Drosophila melanogaster: one gene and its partner. The protein of the gene in region 2 interacts with the protein of the main gene of each other region in a pairwise test. Each region holds a gene or a part of one and is shown on either strand. Other genes may lie near its edges. The genes, in order: CG3308 and CG13001.

The links.
Region 1: the proteins of CG13001 (region 2) and CG3308 interact in a two-hybrid assay, tested with the Drosophila melanogaster proteins (one large-scale study listed by BioGRID).

The regions. Positions count from the first base shown.
Region 1 is NT_033777.3:21,271,905-21,275,835, forward strand, and holds the start of CG3308 (uncharacterized protein), read right to left. Parts: upstream 1,914-3,931; 5' UTR 1,627-1,913; coding exon 1,437-1,626; intron 932-1,436; coding exon 583-931; intron 533-582; coding exon 251-532; intron 190-250; coding exon 51-189; 3' UTR 1-50. Other genes in the region: CG3301 (uncharacterized protein), read right to left, coding at 3,497-3,676, 3,735-3,931.
Region 2 is NC_004354.4:16,940,968-16,944,898, forward strand, and holds CG13001 (uncharacterized protein), read right to left. Parts: upstream 1,905-3,931; 5' UTR 1,616-1,904; coding exon 608-1,615; 3' UTR 119-607; downstream 1-118.

The DNA of each region.
Region 1 (3,931 bases), on a different chromosome or scaffold from region 2:
CTGGGTGGCACACTTTGTCGTTCAGTTCCATGTGGCTCCTTTACCATTTTCTAGGACAAGCCAAACAGTTTCAGGGCATTAAAGGCAGTGGCCAAAGCCACCTCGTCCGGGCTTTTCTTCATGAAGGCGGCTATCATCTCTACAATGGCGGGCAAACTGCACGGCTCGTTGCGTTGGAAGGTACAATATCTGGAAGGTATTTTGAACTAATAGAAGAGTGACCTATTTTGGTACTTTTTACTTCGCCCACCTGTGTAAGTACAACAATGAGCGTTCGGTGATACCAGTCTTCACGTGTTGCGGTAGCTTGGAAGCCCTTGTGTTTGGGTACATGAAAGGAGCATCCGTCTCCACCAGTAGTCTGTCTAGCGGCAATGTGCCGTCCTCCAGCAGGCGGCGAACGCCAGTATCCGATTTGTCCTTGCACAGGTAGCCCGTCAGGCTGATGTAGAACCTCCGGTCTAGGTACTTAAGCGCCTCCTCGGCGGTGCCCATAAAACCTCTGATGATCACAGGCGGAAGATTCTCGAATCTGCGCGGGGAACAATTTAAAGTTTTGTAAACCAAATCTACGGCTCTTACTTGTCTAGTATTTCGAGTAAATCGAGCTGAGCCGACCGCTCGTGGATCAGCAGAGGTTTATTTAGCCGGATGGCCAGATGCAGCTGCTTGGCGAAGATCTGCTTCTGGGCGTCCGGTTCGGAGAAGTCCCGCTGGTAGTCCAAGCCGCAGGGGCCAATCGCCACACACTCCTGCGCCTGGGCGATGTGCTCCAGATCGAACCACGTGGCCGGCTCTTCCACGATGGACTTGGAGTCGTGCGGGTGAATGCCAGCAGTTGAGTAGATTATGTCGGGATAGATGCGCGAAAGGCGCAGCGCTTCCTTGCTCGATTTGACCGAAGTGCCGTGAACCATTAGTTTCTGGACACCTGCAACAAGAAAGGCGGGAGAAAGTTAGTGCAACGTTCACTGGGCTACAGACTTGTGTACAAAAGAGAAAATATGTGACTTCTGTTTGCTTTCGATCAGATACTCTTATCAGCATTGTAATGTATCCCTTTAAGTAAATGTATTTAAAAAACAAATTTTTTGTTGAATATCAAATCAAATATGTAAAGAGAATTTATCTCTTACATATATTTAAATGTTTATAGTTTCCTTTAAAAATTTATCCTATGCAAATATTGTTGTGTTGACATCTTGGTTATTTGGTTTTTAATCTCCAGCTACGTTCCCATTGAATTTGTAATGCCATCTCCCAGGGCACATATGTACATGCATACATATATCAAAACACAGGCACACTTGTTGCTCGCCAATAGCCCGACCTTCTGGCTGTCTGGGTGTTTTCGCAGCCTCGCCCCAGAACGAAGACACTGCCCGGGTCTTATTAATTATGCCTGCACATGTAGTATCTGATGCTGGCATACAAACCTGCGTCTCTGGCTCTCTGCACCACGGAATCCAGATCACGGCTATACTTCTTGTTGGTCAGATTCGCACCCACGTCGATGACGATCAGGTTCTCAAAGCAGTGCTTCATGTCCAATTCCAGCTGATCCTCCAGCAGCGGGGCCACGGGGGCCACCACCGTCTCCTGGGGCGTCTGTTGACTGGGGTCCATGTTCTGGATCGGAATCTTGGATCTATTATCGACGAAAATAGCTTATGACGCAGGCGATGGATTGCTGGGCTGCGACTGTGTGCGTGGGTAATTCAATTAGCTTGTTTTTGAGGGCGCAAGGAAACGCGACGGCGGTGAAAGCCGTGAAATGTGGATCTACTGAATTTGTTGGAATTTGGAAGAGTTGACCAATTCGGCAATCAATGGTCTAAAAGTTGAGAAATATTAATCTAAAAAACAATCCCGACACGAACTACAACTGCTGGCTAGAGTTGAACAACGTCTGCAGAACGGGTCAGTGCAGGTACTACACTCTGCATGCAATCGATAGTCGGAATCGATACGTAGCACCAAATTATATCGTGTTTGAATTTAAATTGTTATCAAAATAAATATTATGTAATAAAATTCAGTCCAATTATTTGATATAAATATATTTGTTTCATGTATATAGTAGAATTCCGATCATCAATAGTAACATCTTAAGACAAATAATTAAATATTTCACAATACCATACCAGAAGTCGCAACTAAATATAACTGAGTCGAATTTTTTGTTTCGGCAACAGTCATTGTTTTTGGGGATTTAAAACCCAAGCCCACACACTTGCACCGACCCCACCTTCAGTTTTGGTTAAACAAACGAACAAATGAGAATAATGTTTTCATTATATTCTTTCCAAACACCTGCAAGATTATTTAACTAAAACGATTCATTGTATTCAAGTGCGATTGTTTATTTATTTGAGTTGGCCCACACAAAGCTTGTTCATTTTTTTTTATCAAGAAACAAAGGTTTAAACAAGTTCGCCCACGGCTTGATAGTGAGTGTAATATGATATTGCACCGGCTCAATCCTCTATTCTCAGCTTGTGTATGCCGGTGTTCCATGCCACTGATTATTTACGTATCTACAATGGTTAGCAGATGCTCTAAGGGGGAAACTCATTATAATAAACACATCCAACCTACTACTTCCAACAGGCATATTATATTGAGTTCCCCTGTTGATAAACTCTTGTCGGAAGACTTCTGCAATGTACTCCTGGTGCAATGGTATCTAGAACGGTATTGTTATCAGATCATCCGAGTTTCCCTCTATCATAATGTTTTTACTTAACATCAGCACCACCCAAACTCTTATCGATTCAAGAAAATGTACCAAAAAGGGTCACCATTGGTGACATCGCAGGGGGAAAATGGAAGCCAGCTTGCTGATGGCAGTGGAGGAGTTCATCTTCTGGAGACAGTTCACCCTTTTGGCTGGAACTATCAACCACACTCCCTTGGCCATCAGCTGCAGACAGCACTCATCTGCATATGTCTTTCGGCAGTGCGACTTGTTTTCGAATTAACTCTTATCTTTTGGGTACATTTTTAAAATTATAAGCATAATCGTCTGGGGTGGATTGACTACTTAATAGATAATTCCCAATGTCGCAGTATCATTGGAATTAATTGGATTTTTTTTGGATCTGAAGAGACCATTAACAATTCCTGAATAATAAATTCCTATCTACATATATTTCGGAGTCACCCTAATCGATAAATAATAGCGAGGGTGTTTGTCTAGGTAAATTTTGATATCAAATATTCTTATTAAAAATGGGTAGATAAAGATTTATACCGGATTATTCATCATTAAAAATGTTCCCGACGAACAAACGGGTTTAATAGAAAGGCGTCTTGAACGTTGGGGTAAGCAAAAACCAGTTGAGCCCGGTTTCCATGTTGAGATAAAAGAGCGACCTTGGGTGTATTTTTTCTCTATTAATTAAACATGTACATTTTTTATTTGTTTACACTGCTATTGAAAAGATATTTGTGTATTTGTTCAAATAACTTACTTGGTCACTTGGAAGTGGTCACTTCAAAAGCCCTCACCAACCGGCTTGATTATGAGCTCCTTTATCTGGACAGTTGGGGGCGTCTGGATGCAGTAGGTCACCGCATCGGCTATATCCTCCGATCGCAGCATGGGCATGCCTGTGGGTTGCTCCCAGGATCCGGCTTCGAAAATTTCAGTGGCCACTACACCAGGACTGATGCTCTAAAATACGTACATCATTAGAAGTTCTCATGCGAACTGGATGAGCAAGGTCACTTACCGTGATCTTTGTTTGAGTGCCCTTCTTGATGAACTCCTGACGCAGGATTTCGGTCAAGGCGGTGATCGCGTGTTTGGAGGGCGCGTACATGTTCAGGCTGAAGCCCTCCACGGCCGGAACGGAGTGGCCTACCACACTATTGATGACTACCACATGACCGTCGTTTACCTTGCGGCGCTGCAGCGATAGGAACCACT
Region 2 (3,931 bases):
GTATAAAATATAATGCAAGTATATAAACATCAGTTATAGTTATTGTATTAAAATACACACATATAAAATCAAATCCAATAATCCAAATAATTTAATCTATAACCAAAAGAACCCATTTAAAAATGAAATATTTTTATTGATATTTGTGTTTTTTTTTTGCTGCTTAAATATAACATAGTTGCATATTTAGCATGGCTTACATGTATAAACAAAATTTTTGTTCTCGATAATTTGACACGTTATTTGAGCTTTTAAAAAATACTTAGCCTATGATTATAGTTAAAATAAAAATCAAATTCATTGAGTTTACCAACTAAAATTGTTATGAGAATTTGTTAGCGGCCGGCGTGTCATGAATAATTTCTTCATCGATTTTCAAATACACTAGTAATGTATAAAATATTAATGCAAGTATTTGACATTCTTTTAAATCTTCTCCGATAATCATGAGCACACCCGCCTTGCGTCGTTGTAATACTTTTCATTGGGATTAATAATAAATAGATGAGGCAAAAAAAAAAAAACGCATTCGATTTAGTGCGCTGAGTTTCCGGAACCAGCTCCGGACTTAAGATGAGTGTAGTTGCTGGTCTGGAGCGGTGGCCACTTAGTTGTTCTTCTTCTTGGGCTTCTTCGGATTGCGGGAGCGCGACTTGGCCTTGCAGAGCGGACAGATGGGCGCGTTCCGGTGGATCTGCTGGTGGCAGGACAGACAGGACTTCATGGGCGGCGGCTGCTGGCGGAGATTCACATTGAAGTCGGAGCGGAACGAGGGATGGTGGCCGATGCCGATCGAAGGCGATTGCTGCAGTCGATTGCTGGGCGGCGGCGGTGGCGGTGGTGCTGAGAAGTCACCCTTGCCCAGACGCACTGCAGCAGCAGCGGCGGCGGCAGCAGCACTGCCTGCTCCCGGCGGTGCGGGTGGCATGAAGGCGTGTCCAGGATTGCCGCCACCACCGCCTCCGCCGCCCACAGATCCTCCGCCACCGCCTGCAGCGCCGCCACCACCAACGCCGCCCTGTCCGCCGCCAGAAGGCAGCGCGGTGACCGTGGCCTCCGGCATCAGAGGATGCCGGGCATGCGGACGGGCCAACGACGAGTTCTGATTAACCGAGGCCGCCGCCGCAGCTGCAGCAGCTGCTGCTGCCGCCGACTGGGCGGCCACCTTAAGGAAGTTGGTCTGGAAGCGATCCTTCGAAATGGGACTGCCCTCCTCCTCGTGCAGATCTCGCAGCGGGCTTAGTCCGAGATAGTCGCGGCGCATGTGATCAATCTGGTACTTCAGGGCCAGGTACTCCTCGTACACCCGGTTGGCCATGTCGAAGGAGCGGGTCTGGTTCTCCTTCGTCTGCTTGATGATGTTCTCCATGTCGTTGATGTCCGCGTGGATCTGGCGCAGCTCTTCCACGTGCGACATCTTCTCCTCGAGCAGGTGCTCCATCTCCTTGCGGTACTCCTCCAGGCACTTCTCCTCGTCGTCGCTCAGCTTCACCTCCTTGATGATCCGCACTTTGAGCTTCTCCAGCGACAGCGTCTTGTCCCTGATGTCCTTGATGGCCTCCAGTTTGGCGTAGTAGTGCCGCTCATTGGAGCTCGAGATCTCGCTGGTGGCCATTGTAGATCCAAAACGATCCGTGTGGTATAATATGTGTATTTTCGAAAGACTCTCGAGTGTTTTCTGTATGGCCCCCTCCACTGGGCGAATGTTTATTTTGCACTTTTTCACTAGCCTAATAGTTCGATGTCGGATTTTCCGGCCGATTCTTAAGCATCTGATATGGATGATCGCGTCTTTTGGGATAATCCTTTGGAATGGCGCACTTTTAATTGATTTTTTCTTTATTTATTTGATTTTTTCTCTGCTAATGCTAATACCATTTTTTTCTGGTATACAATGCAGTGTTACCAGAGCGTGGAAGTAATTTTTACATTTAATCACGACCAGCCGATTATTTGCTATCGATAGCTGGCAGTGCGGTATATATCGTTTTTTAAATAGAAAACAAATTCCTTCCAATTCCAATTCCTTATACGTACAAATTTACTTAAATGATTACACTATAGTTAAAGTGCTTTACTGATTTTACCGTGGGCGCTGCTTTAAAATTTAAAAATCCGGTAAATTCCAGTTGCTGTGGCAAAAAACTTAAATCTGGCATTCATGCCGAGATAATATTCAGTTAACTATTGATATAAAATGTTTCAGTTATATGGAAAGAACGTTAGTATTAAAATTTACATTATTACATATAACTAAAATTAATAACTTGTATCCTAGCTACTAGTTTAGTAACTAGTTTTGCCGGCATTCGCTGTCTTTCCGCCAACGGTCACACTAGGCGCGCCCCGTTATATTACATTATGCATTTGTATTCTTCGATCGGTCGCAGATCGTTCGGATCGGAAAATCCGGTTCGGAAAGCGGGCATTGGGGACAAAAACAAAGAATCTTGTTCTGGTCATGACTTTTCCATCCGCGAATTGTCAACTTCTGTTTAGCGAATAGTTGTTGTTCCCTTTTGGAGACAACAACAAAAAAAGACATCGATCGCGCGAGAGAGAGAGACAGATGCAAACAATGCGTACGCGCGCGTATGTGTGTGTGAAACATTCCGCAAGTGATTCATTCCGCAAGAATAATAAATAAATAAACAAATATTAGTAAACTGGGCCGAAATGTTTGTGGAAATGTGTCAACTAGTTGCGGCAGTAAAATATCAGTGCAATATCGATATGTGTGGGAAATCAGCTTAGCAATTTAGCAGAGACTTTGCTTTTCGCCCACCGCTCTCTCCCTCTCTCTCACACTCTTTGTTTTCGTTTTTTATTGTTGTGCTCTGGTTGTGTTTGTGTGTGTTGTGAATATAAAACGAAGTTAAGTTGACCACGCAGAAACTGCATACGAAATTTTTAACAAGGAAAAAGCGAAAGGTAAAAGCGATTTTTATTATTTTTATTTGAAAGCCGCAGTTTCTTTGCGATCTCTTTTTCTGCGGGCTTCGATTTTCAATGGTCTCTTCTCTCTTCAATGCGTTCTAATCAATCCGTGTTTACATACGGGCTGTGTGTCTGTGTTAGTTGGCTGATAATTTTTAGTGACAGCTATGTGCCAAATAATAGTAATATCTACAATAAATCAAATATAAATAATGCGAAATACGGCAATATTGATAACATTGTGAATTTTAATCATTATACTTTGAAATGTTTAAAAACATTTCGTTAGTATATGTTTATATATTTGTATTATATTTTAATTTAGTGTTTTTGCCACCTATGCGTTTTATGCAATATAATGATATTTTTTCCTAAATTTATAAAACCACTATGGCTGTGTACACATTTGTATGTATGATAATTTTTGACACACATATATTTCGCTTCTAACTGCTTATCGCTCCCATTTAGCGATAGACTGTGCGAGCGGGACAGGTGTCACCTGTTGCGCTTCTTCGCTCCATCTCTCCACCGCTCTTCCCTCTCTCTCTCTCTCTTTCCATCGTTTGACACATTTTGTTGCTGTTCTTAATTGTTTGGCAATTAAGTCAATTATAAACATATTAAGACAGCCGACACACATTCTCCGATTGGATGCGCTTTTCCCTTTGACTTTCGCAGAAGAATCAATAACCAAATTAATCGATCAATCCAGGCGATAAGTCCGAAAATTGGGCTAAATAAATAAAAGCCTCTCAAGATCTTTTAGTTATGGTAATAAATAAAGTACACTATGCATAAGTTCGTTGGGGTACGTGAAATACAACAAACTCGTGAGTTGACAAATATTTGGATTTTTAGAGCCTAATGTATCTATGATCCGTAAACATTATGATTACTAAAAGATAATGTTAGCTGCTCACTCTATGTGCATTATATTTATATTAAATGGGAAGAGCTGTAATCTATCATCTCTTACTTATTTTAATAGCTT